3 linked regions of the Kluyveromyces lactis genome follow. The protein of the gene in region 3 interacts with the protein of the main gene of each other region in a pairwise test. Links are inferred from orthologs where the notes say so. Each region holds a gene or a part of one and is shown on either strand. Other genes may lie near its edges. The genes, in order: KLLA0_D13838g, YAK1 and HRT1.

What was found.
Region 1: the proteins of HRT1 (region 3) and KLLA0_D13838g interact in binary tests that used the Saccharomyces cerevisiae proteins (3 or more experiments, as listed by UniProt). The link is inferred for Kluyveromyces lactis from reciprocal best matches to the Saccharomyces cerevisiae genes HRT1 and YIL001W.
Region 2: the proteins of HRT1 (region 3) and YAK1 interact in binary tests that used the Saccharomyces cerevisiae proteins (3 or more experiments, as listed by UniProt). The link is inferred for Kluyveromyces lactis from reciprocal best matches to the Saccharomyces cerevisiae genes HRT1 and YAK1.

The regions. Positions count from the first base shown.
Region 1 is NC_006040.1:1,188,203-1,192,777, forward strand, and holds KLLA0_D13838g (uncharacterized protein), read right to left. Parts: upstream 2,394-4,575; coding exon 855-2,393; downstream 1-854. Other genes in the region: IRC22 (Irc22p), read left to right, coding at 77-793; phosphoinositide 5-phosphatase INP51, read left to right, coding at 2,725-4,575.
Region 2 is NC_006037.1:539,547-544,714, reverse strand, and holds YAK1 (serine/threonine protein kinase YAK1), read right to left. Parts: upstream 3,171-5,168; coding exon 1,056-3,170; downstream 1-1,055. Other genes in the region: protein transporter TIM17, read left to right, coding at 276-740; DNA-directed RNA polymerase II subunit RPB4, read left to right, coding at 3,795-4,397; KLLA0_A05775g (glycosyltransferase family 15 protein), read right to left, coding at 4,447-5,168. UniProt on the Saccharomyces cerevisiae protein: Negative regulator of the cell cycle acting downstream of the cAMP-dependent protein kinase. Part of a glucose-sensing system involved in growth control in response to glucose availability. Phosphorylates POP2.
Region 3 is NC_006041.1:649,367-652,652, reverse strand, and holds HRT1 (SCF ubiquitin ligase complex subunit HRT1), read right to left. Parts: upstream 1,180-3,286; coding exon 847-1,179; downstream 1-846. Other genes in the region: prephenate dehydratase PHA2, read left to right, coding at 1-498; mediator complex subunit MED7, read left to right, coding at 1,756-2,397. UniProt on the Saccharomyces cerevisiae protein: Core component of multiple cullin-RING-based E3 ubiquitin-protein ligase complexes (CRLs), which mediate the ubiquitination of target proteins.

The sequences.
Region 1 (4,575 bases), on a different chromosome or scaffold from region 3:
ATTGAAGTTTACATATTACAATTACCAGCAATCGAGTCTCTTCAATTGATTATAGGGTTCATAAAGTACAAGGGAAATGAAATTTTTAAAGGTTGCTCTAATTTTCTCGGCGCTAAGTGGTGTTTATGCCGACTTAGAACATAATCTCAGAATACATAATGATATTCCTGTGGAATACGATAGCGATGCTGCTTCTGCTGATATCGGCTCAGAGGACGAGCCACACCAACAAGAACCTAAAATTGCTAACTTTTTGATTGAATACGATGTGTTAGAAGAGGATGGCAGAATATCATCCGGTCTGATCGAGGTAGAAAATGGTAAGTCGCTTTCCTTCTCTTACAATTTTACAAATAGCGAGGATGCAGACGTGAATGTGTATGCATTTGGAGGAAGCATCATTGATATGGGAAGTAGCCAAATTATTGCTGATATTCCAAGAACTGATTTCAGCCCAGTTCATGTGGCAATAAACGAGAGTGCTCGTTTACTGCAGAAATTACCAATTGATTTACCGGAAGGCATTCTGTACGTCTTACCTCACATCTACGTTGACAAAGACGGCGAACAAATGAAAGTGGGTGCATCTCCTATTTCTATTCAGGTTGTTCCTCCTCCATTGTCAATATTCAACCCCCAGTTTTTGTCTATCCAACTGTTCTTGCTAGGGCTTGTTGCCGCGATTTCCTACTATGTCTTTGGCTTCAGCTTCAAGACTACGAAACAACCCGTCAAAAAACAAAACAGAGCTAGTAATTCAAATGAATGGTTACCGGAAACTCATATCAAATGATTGATTGTAGTAAAGGACTTTATTTTTATATATCATGGTCGAATGTAAATATCGTAACTGATCAAATGTCAAACCCGAGTTCAATTAATAGACTTTCAAGCAAATCTATATCCTTTTTATATTCTAAAAGGCCAGACTTCTTCAAGAAATCTATATCGTCTTCAGTGTCCAATAACTCCAAAATGTCCGCTTGTAAATCATACTTTTCCAATAAGTAGAATCTGATATCATCTACTAATTCAACAGTATCTGTATCTTGACGACTTTTGATCCTTTTTGAACTTTGAATAATGGCGTCCGATAAAAGTGAATCATTTATATAGTTTTCGATGTCGTAAGCAATTACTTTTGCAGCATGGTGCTCTAACCGTTCCACAGAGCAGCTCCAGGCTACATCGAGGACGTCGAAGATTGAATATTTTGTTAAAAATTCCTTACTCTGGGTTATGGTCACCGCTGCCATCGTTTTCAATCTATCCGTTAAAATGAAATCGCTGGTTCGTAATACATCAATGGCAATCTCCCAGGGTATATCTGTTGAATCATAATATAAATAGGAAAGAACAACTTCGGCCACAGATAAATTAACCACCGATAACGAAACAATTGGAACCTCTGAAGTGGCTTCTTGGAAAGATGAGGAAAACATCAATTTGAAGAAATTGGATCTCACCAAGATAGATTTATGACACATATAAAAATAATCTTGTCCCTCACTTGTGGTAACTTTTAAGACCAAGTCACCAAATGGTGGTAGATCTCTCAGGGTTTTTAAATGTCTATCCTTAACCTCTCCACTAGTAAGTAGTATCCCATTGTTAAATATGTTTTCATTGACATAAGCTTCTAATTGGTCTCGGGCATCAGTGTTGAATTTATACTGGTACTCATTCATCAAGCTTGCCCTCTCTGATGGGTCAGATACGTGCATGGTTTTATCAAGGTACGATAGGAGATCCGGAAATCCCGACTTCATAGATAGGAGGTGGATATGTTTTAATTGGTCTTGCTTTAATTCATGTAAGACAGGTACTAAATAAATGAACTTCAATATTGAACGGAACGCCTCTATATCTGATCCGGTAGGCATTCTCTTGGATTTCAATGTTGCCCATGGACCACTGAATTTCTGCCTGAAATAACTTGATCGTGCCGCCAGTATAAACTTATGAGCAGGAATTTGCAGATCGTCATCAAAAGTGAACTGGAAGTCAAAATTATTAACAATATCATCATTCATTAACGATGAAAGGTGCGAGGCAAACGGTTGCTTGACATCAACTGCCTTAGATATATCGTATTTTAGTAAAATGTTACGAATGGAATCAGTCAAGGCACCATAAATGCATCTAGCACCTTCGTATCTATCTCTATCGCAAACAGAACCTCTTCGTAGTAACAAATTTACAACATCTTCATGACCACATAAGCTGGCTAAAAATAATGGCGAATTGTCAAACTCATCTACACCGTTGACATTAACTCCAGTAGAAATTAATCGATCTGCATTCTCAACATCGCCTATCCTACAAGCAAAACACAACTCCAAGAAATTCTTATTCTGATTTAGCAGTGGATTTTTAGCACTAGTATCAACCATTACCAACCCCAAACGGACCCTTTCACCAAGCAACTTTTTATGTTAAAAACTGAATTGATTCCTGAATCAAATGGTCCCTAAATTGCGAGCCCAAATGTCTATCGGACTTTCTGAAAGATCGACATTTTCTTAGTAATTATGGAGCTTTTTTCATCTTTTAATTGATGGCAAGTCAATCGATTTTAAAGGATTAAAAATAAACATTTCAGCCAAGATAAAAACATAAAAAGGTATAAGAATGTCTACCGAAATATTAAGGATAATTGGAAGTAAAGAGTACTGCATAGAACCCAGGAACTTATCAGTAGATGGCTAATAAAAGAAGATAGATATGAAAGTATATCTACGGAAAAGTCCTAGAGCTATTGCTCTAGTTTCGAATGGATATGTGCTTATTTTTGAGAAAAGACAAAATAGTACGTCATCATTCCTGAAGGGCGGTTCACCTAAGGTCACAGTGCAATCAGTGTTAGAAAGCGCTTTTGATACGGAGCCATACACACAATTGAACCACACAACATTTACTGCATTGTTCGGATTGATCACTGTTAAGGGTCAAGTGTTTATTGGGATTATCACAAGTAACAAAAAGGTCGGATCTCCCAGATGGAAACTAAATGAGCAGGATAAGGTAATAGAGGAGGAAACCATCTATCAAATATTGAACATTAATTTCTATTGCATAGACAGTGATAAATACGACTCAATGTTTCAAGATCTCTCTGATATAGGCTATGAAAGACAGTTGACTGAACATCCATGTGGGCATCTAAAAATGCTTATCAGTGATGGGTCATTTTATTATTCCAATGATTTTGATATCACTAACAGTTTACAAGAGAGAGGATTGGTGCATAGAATTGAGTATACCATAGATAACCAGGATCAGCGTTATGTCTGGAATTATAACCAAATTTCCGAAATCGTACAGCTGCGATCTAGAATCGCAGTTCAAGAGCGACCGTATTTTGATTCAGGATCCTTTCTGGTATTCCTAGTAAGAGGATTTTGTCAAACGATAACTGATGGTATATCATCATCCTGCACTCTAATATCGAGAATATCAACGGAAGGTATGAATAATCTATCAGAATTCAAGGGAATTGATCAGAGCGGAAAGGTTTCTAATTTTGTCGAAACGGAAATCATAGTTCAAACGAGACGAAACGTCTTTTCTTATACAATGACTGGTGGTGATATACCATTGAATTGGGAACTAGTAGAAGGTCAATTCCTCCATGGTAAAAAACCGAAGTTGTTATCAAAGGCAAGCACTGTACAACCTTCTTTTGACCTCCATTTTGACGAATTAATGTCGAAGTACGGTGTTGTCAGCATAGTCAATGTTTCGAAACCAAAGAACGATGCTTACGAAGCAATGATAAACACTTACCAAAAATGCGCTTCATCAAAGGGTATTGATTTAACTTTGATAGAAGACTCTACCAGTGCGTTGAACAGAATTCCGCACAGGATAATATATCTTTTACAACAAAAGATATACGAGTTCGGATCGTTTGCATACGATATGGATAAGAAAATTTACGTCGGTAAACAGACTGGTGTCTTCAGGATTAGTGCCGTGAATCTTTTCAAGAAGCTAAATATTGTGGAGAAAGTTATCAGCGCCGACGTATTGGAATTGACCATCAATGAATTGGAAGAGAAAGACATTTCTTCAGACTTTTGGAAATCGCATGACTCTTTATGGAAAAGCAACGATTTCTGGTTAGAGAGGCTTAATAGCAAGCACTCCAAGAATCCTTCTAAATATAAGAAGATTTACCGCGGTCTTTTTGATCCAAGTGCAATCGTTGCGTTATATGATCCATTGCATATATATGTGACCAGATTTCTAAGACAAAGAAGACACGAATATACGTTCGAAAAGGAAATATCCATCTTTGCGGGAACATTTAATGTGAATGGGAAACTTTCGAAAGAGAAACTCGAGGGATGGTTAAAACCTGAAAACGAGTCCCCTGATCTATATGTCATTGGTTTGGAAGAGATAGTCGAGTTATCACCTGGCCACATGCTCGCCACAGACCCTTACATCAAGACTTTCTGGGAAAAGAAACTTCTGAGTGAGATCAACTCCTATAATGACAAGAAGTATCATGCTGTGTTTAACAGTCAGCTAGGTGGGCTCGCTTTATTGGTATTTACAGATGAGGAGAAC
Region 2 (5,168 bases), on a different chromosome or scaffold from region 3:
GAAATTTTTCAATATTGAAACTGGAACTGGCAAAGTTAGACATCATACACCATGAGATAACTGGTCTTCAGGTCTGTAATGATTGTATGCTTGATCTCTGCATTTAAGATTCATTATCAGAATTAGAGAATCTACATCACTCGTGGGAGAAAGAAGGTGAAAGATAGGGCTATCTACTTTTTTTTTTTGGCAGCTAATATCAAGGACATAGAGCGATATTGGAGCTTAAACTGAATTCTCGGATCAAGGCAAATATAATCTAGAATAATACAAATATGTCTGCTGATCATTCGAGGGATCCTTGTCCTATTGTGATTCTTAACGATTTCGGTGGTGCCTTTGCTATGGGTGTCATTGGTGGTTGTGTTTGGCATGGTATCAAGGGTTTCCGTAACTCTCCACTAGGTGAAAGAAGAGCTGGTGCTGTCAGTGCAATTAAGGCCAGAGCACCAGTTGTCGGTGGTAACTTCGGTGTATGGGGTGGTTTGTTTTCTACTTTTGACTGTGGTGTTAAGGCCGTGAGGAAAAGAGAAGATCCATGGAATGCTATTATTGCCGGTTTCTTCACCGGTGGTGCTTTGGCTATCAGAGGAGGTTGGAAGCATACCAGAAACTCAGCTATCACTTGTGCATGTTTACTTGGTGTCATTGAAGGTGTTGGTTTGATGTTCCAAAGATACGCTGCTTGGCAAGCAAAGCCAATGGCCCCACCTTTGCCAGATCAACCAATGCAAGCTTGAAGATCGGAAGAATAATCAGACTTCCCATTTTCTAAACTTGTTTCGTGCGGTTGCTGCGCTGTACCATACGCTTCTCTTCTTCTTGTTTCTCTATCCATTGCATCAGAGTAACTTAATGACTATATATCTCTTAACGAAAGGAATATTAAACCCATGTACATAAATATCATATATATTTCTGAAAATATCACATTTAATATTGAGAGATGGACTGAACTGCGGTGTGAATGGAATTAAGAACCTATTTTATTCGGTTAATTAGATCGGTATTATACAAAATATCAAGTCAAAATGCTACATATGTGTTTGCTTACATTAGTCGCCAAGTTGTAACTTGTCCAACGCTACAGAGTCGAATTGTAATGAAGGATTACGAGCTGTTTGTGATTTCTTTGGAATGGTACCCGGTGGGTACCACTCCCCTGTGAAAGGTTCTTCTGTGATGAAGGGATGCAAAATGGCCTGTTGTGGGGTCCAACGTTCGAGTGGATTGAGGTTCAACACTCCTCTCAAAAAATGTAACAAGCAGTCCCTGTTCTTTATTTCTCTTTCAACAAGTGCTGGATTCCCAGAAATCCTTTTCGAAATTCTTGCGTTACGAATTATATCATCGAACAATATATGTTTCACGTATCTCTTCACTGACTCTTCGTTAGCAGCAAACTCCAAGTTAAACTCATCAATGGTTTTCATTCTAAATTTTTTCTCAACAGTGGTATTCATCTTATGGAAATATTTCTTAGAGTTTTTACCCATATCACACATCCATGCAGGTGGCATCCCCAAAGATTCCACGATTCTTGTAACTTGATCAAACTCAGAATTACCGGGAAAGATAGGTATACCAAGAAACAATTCTGCAACGATACAACCAAAGGACCACATATCTATCCCGGTAGAATAAGGAATCCCCAAAAGAACTTCTGGAGCTCTATAGAATCTTGATTGAATGTATGTGTAAATGGTACGTGTTTCCTCACATGCAGATCCAAAATCAATGACTTTTAAATCAGGTCGATCGTTGCTTACCAACAATATATTCTCCGGTTTCAAATCACAATGGATCAACTTACTGTCCTTCAAGACACATAGTGAATCCAATAATTGCTTTGAAAATGTTTTAATAAGTGTCATGCTCAACCCATGGAATTCATTCAACTTCAACAATTCATATAAATTGTTACTCAACAATTCGAAAACAAGACACAAATGATGCTTATGCACAAACGTGTCATGCAACCTTAAGAAGTGATGTTCATTATTAGGATCAATTTGTCTGTTCAATAATTCCAAAACTTTAGCCTCAGTGACTGACTGATTCAAATATTCTGATTTAGATTTCACAACTTTCACTGCTAGAATCTCTTTTGTTATTAAGTTTTGACATTTCACAACTTGACCAAAAGTTCCTTGACCCAAAAGGTCCAAGACCAAATATTTTCTGTTGTGTTCAACCCCCAACACATCATTAACGTAAAGGATGTAGTCACTGTTGACATTATCATGTCCATTGTTATATTTCCCCTCATTTGGTTTTGTTAGCACTCTTTTCGGGTTCTTTGATGTCTGATATGCAAAATCGTCATTACACAATGAATAAGTGGTAGTTAACGACTTAGTTAGAGCCATCAACGGCGAGACCGTCTTGCTGCTTAATGAAGCACGTCTATATTTCGGTGTGGAATGTATAACGGGATTCAAGTCCTGTCTCGTAAATATCTTGTTGAATTTAGGGACAATAATTATTGGAGAAGGTGGCCTTGACGACGGAAGTGAACTTGAGCCGCCACGCGTGCTCATGTATGCACCTGCAGTAGCGGGATACACAGAAGAATTTATGGAGCCAGCCATATATCCCGCAGTATTAATTCCAGGTTTCCTAAGCTGAGATGGTTTCGTTACCTGCTGTGGCGAAAGTTGACTGCCACCAGTGACAGCAACCGACTGCCTTCTTTGTGCATCATTATAGTTGGGAAACGGTTGCTTCTCATAAAGGAACGGATCAGGCCCTGCCGCACGCGCAGGTGGTATTACTAAAGATGAGTTTCTCCTTCTGAACTGTTGTGAGGATTCATCTACAGCGTTATCTTCTTCGTAAGTAGTGGGCAAGGGGAAGTTGGATTGCTTCCTCATAGTAGACCTCTGAGACTCAGGTATCTGGGGAATCTCTTGCCATGGGTTTTTGAATATCGATTGACGTGGCGACTGCATTTGGAAACCACCAGCCGCATTTCCGCCTTGTTGCTGCCCTGCATATATATTCCCGCCTGCATTGGAGCTACTCCCAGCTGGCCCATCAGGCGCAATCTCTGGGCCCTGATTCTGGGTATTTGCCTGCGTCTGAGAAAAGTTCTGGTTCTGATTCGAACTCGACGCTCCCTGCTGAGAAGCCATGAACGCAGGGTTCCAAAGGCTATTCTTATCCCCCATTTATTATATATCAGATTATAGTCAACGTCTAACCACGTTATTGCAGCAAAATATTAGAAAAGCCTCTCTTCCAACAAAGAAATGACCAATTCACAACTCAAAGTTTCAACGGAAATACCTTTTAAACGTTATATCGACTGAATAACCCTGAGTTTCGCTTAAAGAACTTATAGCAAAACAGTAACAGAAACAAAACCAGCTAAAGAATGTACGCCTTCCTATATTAAAAAACAGCTAAATTCGAATCTGGCTATACCTAATCACGATGAGTACCAAGTACATACAGCGCTGCCCTAAAAATAAGCCCTGGTGTCCTGTACAAACAAACAGCTTTGCCAAGATTCACTTTAATACCTTAAATACAGAGAACATTCATGTCATGAAGTCATAGGGCCAATATTCTGATGTTGAGTTTTCGCATAATTACCGTTAGGAAAAAAAATGGAAATTCAATTACGATTAAAACGAGAGGTAAACTAACTTTGTCACTCGAAACATCAACTGGAGTTACATTTATCTAAGTTGTACCGTTGTCAAAGTGGCTGATTACTGGAATAGCACTTTTTGTGATTACACTCGTCTACTTTTTTGGACCGCTCTTATAGATAACAGCTCGAATTTACCATGAATACATCTACATCCACTGTTCAAACCAAGAGACGTGGGTTGAAGAAGTTTGTTGAAGAAGAGAATGCTGCCACTTTACACTTGGGAGAAGAGTTTAATTTGAAGCAAATCAACCATCAGGGGCAGGAGGAAAACCTAGTGGCTTTAAATTTGAGTGAGTCTCGTTTGATTATAAAGGAAACGCTACAGAACCGTCGGAAATTATTCAAGACATGGGCAAGCAATGGTGCATCAAATAAGGACGATGACATGGATGATGAAGATAACGTCAATGTGCATACCCAAACACAGGAGAAAGAGTTACAGGATATAGATAGATTGCTTGAACAGACCACTGGTGGACAGAATCAAGCGTTGAAGCAGACCATGATATACCTAACGAATTTTTCACGTTTCCGTGATCAGGAAACAGTAACCGCTGTATCACAGCTTTTATCATCCACAGGGTTGCATCCATTCGAAGTGGCGCAATTGGGTTCTCTATCGTGCGAAGATGCAGATGAAGCCAAGACTCTAATTCCAAGTTTAGGAACCAAGATATCTGACGAAGATCTAGAAAGAATCCTAAAGGAATTATCGAATTTGGAAACTTTATACTAAAACCTATGTACTATATCTTATATATATCCCCGGTTTCACCTCTGCTCCATCATCTAATAAATAGTTTGCCGGCACCGTTTTTCCACCATCTCATCAAGCAACTGTTTGGGTGGATGGGAATATTAGATTCGCCGTTAGGATCACACATACAACGGAGCACTAATCGTGCTGATATGGACGTGGGACATGTTTCAAATGGAACATGGCTGTATCCAATTTCATCAAAGTGGTGGATTTCATTCTTGTCTAGAAGTAATGAGGCACCTATACTGTGCACGGGTGCATCACCCCAACGTTCATAATAAAACCCACCCTTGGAGTCCAAGTAATTGAAATACTGAAGATACTCGTCACTTCTAAAGAAATTTAGATCTCCAATTTCGAAATTGGACCAGAAATGACATAGATTATAGTCTGTATTCGAATCAACAACAGGGAAAAAACGTCCCACCATCGTGGTATCCGTCAAAAAGCTTAGACTGTTGTTAGGATGTAGAATTTCTGGATAAGTATCCATGAATTCCTCAACAGCATCCCATAATGTCGTTACCGTATCCTCATATTCAAAGATAGATATCACAAATCCGTATTTCTTCTTCTTCTCCCGCATGACTTTGAATGGATCATATGGGAAATCGCAGAAGTATTCCACATCAGGTTCGACTCTAAAATAGTAATCATATTGGTCCAAAAGCTTTTGTCTGAAAAAGAACCCACTATTGAAACGACACATATTACGATACGATTTCGAGTCTCCGTATATTACCTTCT
Region 3 (3,286 bases):
GTGGAAAGATGCATAGCTGAATATGCCACTGATAGAAAAATAACTCTAGCAATTGGAAGCCGTGCGAGTGCATCACTAAATAAAGCTACGATTGTGGAAGGCGGTATCAATGATGTCAATGGAAATACGACAAGGTTCTTGATCTTGAAAAGGCGTGACGAATCTAGCGAAATTGGCAGCCAAGCTCTCCCACCTAAAGGCGATGAAATGAAAGTAAACTTTGTCACCTTCGTGATAAATCAAGATGATCCAGGTTCCTTAATAGATGTATTAAATGTCTTGAGGGAGTATAAGTTGAATATGTGCTCAATCAGTTCGAGACCATTCCATAATCAAGTGCAATCAGAAAGAAAATGGCAATATTGCTTCTTTATTGAGTTTTATGGCAATTACGGTACTGATTACGAACTTCTGGCGAAAAGGTTTGACGAAAACTGCGCAAAATGGATTCACTGGGGTAAATTCTACCGAAACGCACTGTATTACCAAATCCCATGATATATGCATTATGTTTAGAAACAAAATGCAAATACTGATCTTAAAAACGAAGCAATCGAAGAGGAATGTACGCATCCTAGTTGTATTCATGGAACAACGCTGTCCTGTCTATTGTTTTGGGACCGATCGAACCTGTCGATAATTCCATTAGAAGCTCGTTACGTAACTATATATACACAGAAGCCAGATTATCTAAGCTTCTTCCCAATGGTAGATATTAAATCCACACTATCCGCTTGGTATTAAATCATTGGAAATCTAAATTGAGTAACATTTTTTGCGGTTCGAACAGTCCAATAGCGATATTAAATTTCGATAATGCATCTTTGTAGGCTTAACACTCTATCTTCACTTGCCACACCGAGCCAATTTCCAAGGTTTATTATCCAACGGACAAACATTTCTGCTCTTGATCCATTGGGTAATACAATGTAGGTGGAATGCGTGGTTGCACTCACCCCAGGCGGCTACACATTCATGCTCCGAGTTGAAAGTTGCTTCCTGCTGACAATTTACACATGGTTCCATAATATGATTTCTGCAAATGGCACAATTATCAACGTCAATATCCCATGACCAAAAAGCTACCGCTGTCCATTTCGTTATCTCAAAATTGGGCTTTGACTCAGTAGCACCCTCTGTCCCGCTCTGTGCCTCTATTGGTCCCAAATCCGTGGCCATCTCCTAACGATCAGCTACTATTGGTAAATATAAATCCTTCCTTCTTTAAAACAGATTACAAACAGACGTTCTAAGTCCCAGGTCTAACTGTCGTTCAATCCTTGGAAACGCGGGTGTGAAAACCTTTTTTTAAACTATTAATGATCGAATAGAGTAGTCTTATGAATGACAAAAGATATACCCTGTGGACTATAATGGGATCTATGGACTTTCGTAACTGCCCAAACGTTCAGAAACATTAGAATTCATGTTGAAAGAGAGACAAGAGTGATATTCATATCACGTGAATACAAACATTTGTTACCCGGATGTGAAATTGTACATGAAATGGAAATCCAACTTATAGTAACCAGCACAAACAGAAACAAGTGATAAATCAGTGAACACAGGAAAGCGTGTTGGCGATATCAGACCTGTGTTAGACCTCCGTGGCCATAATCTGTCCAGATTCAAGATAAACTGGAACCTCGACCGTCCTTTAAAGTATTGAAATCCCTCTCAATAAAAGATTTTTTTGAAAGTGATTGTGAAAGTGAGAGACAATACTGCCAGTCAGAAGCTAAAATATAAAGGACCATGAGTGACAAGAACGAAGTATCATCATTGTATCCTCCACCACCACCGTTCATTCAATTTTTCACCGAAGAGAACTCAAAACTATTTAGAGAATGTGGCAAAGATGAAGAAAAACTAGCGAAATGTACAACAAAACAGAGGGAGCAGTTGAAATATTTTGTGAAGCCAGAACTACCCAGGGATGGTTCATACAGAGCATTTGGTAATGTATGGAAAATTAAGGATGAACTACCGGAGTTATCACAGATGGGAATTGAACAATTATATAGGAAACGGGAATCTGTCACGGAATTGGAAAACGGGACCACAACAGAAGTTGAACCTAGTCCTCAAGATTCGCAAAGTGGGACAAATTACGAGAACAAGATCCAAGAGTCGAAAAAACTAATGAAATCACTATTACTAAATTTCCTAGAGCTTATAGGAATATTGGGAGTGGATTCAAGTAGATATGAGAAAAAACTTGACGAGATAAGGGTGATAGCCATCAATATTCACCATCTTCTTAACGAATATAGACCGCACCAAAGTCGTGAATCGCTAATCATGTTATTTGAAGAACAATTGGAACATAAACGCAAGGAAATGGAACACATCAATAAAGTCTGTGATGAAGTGGAATCCAAGCTGGCTCAACTGTGATATATATCCCAGCATACCAGTTGTTAAGGCGATCTCTAAAAACGAAGACTTTGGTATCAAGATGTTTAATTAAACTTTCATAAGTTCGGCTGCTTGAGAGATTTAATTCGAAATTTAGCCGCCGAATAAGGTATACAGAATAAGAAAATCAGCAAACTTTCTCCCAATGCAAGCAAAGGGGGAAGACAAATTTAATAGCAAGATGTCGGACGAAGCTAATGCTCATTATTTCTAAAAGTCCTAATACCAACTCTCTGACGCTGATTATGTAACGAAGACCTAGTAAGTTTAAAATACAAGTCACGTGCTCTACATGACTCGCGAAGTCCTTTTTCTTTTGTCTTCCCAGAATGGGGTAGAATTGCCGATTTCTCTTCGATTTCAGGTATGGCGGATCGGAGAAACTAATTCCACAGGAAGAAATCCTACAATTCCCTTACACCACACTACGCATTATAAAAAAGACCCAAAAAAAGAATTAGCGATCGGAATAACTCGTGCAGAGAGTGTAGGGCCTAAACGGGCAAAGAGGAGAACAAATGACCAGGCATGAAAAAGAGACCAAAGAGAGACAGAAGAGGGGAACGGCGGGCAGAGGGCAAATAGAAAAAACCGCCAGGCAGATTATCCGAAAGACACACAACAGAATAGCGCGCGAAACTGTCGTCAGTACCTCTCTCACACCGGTTTCCTCGAGAGGAAACCGTTACACCGATTAAATCGGAGCTGTAACGGGCAGCTGGGTTAGTTTACCGTAATAAACGTGACAGATCCCAGGACTGATCCATTTTATTGTCAATATGTCAGCCTTCTTTTCGGCAACATGCTCTCTTTTTTAAAGCCTAACAGGAATTGAATTGCCAAAGTAAGCTATAATTCCTGTAATGGA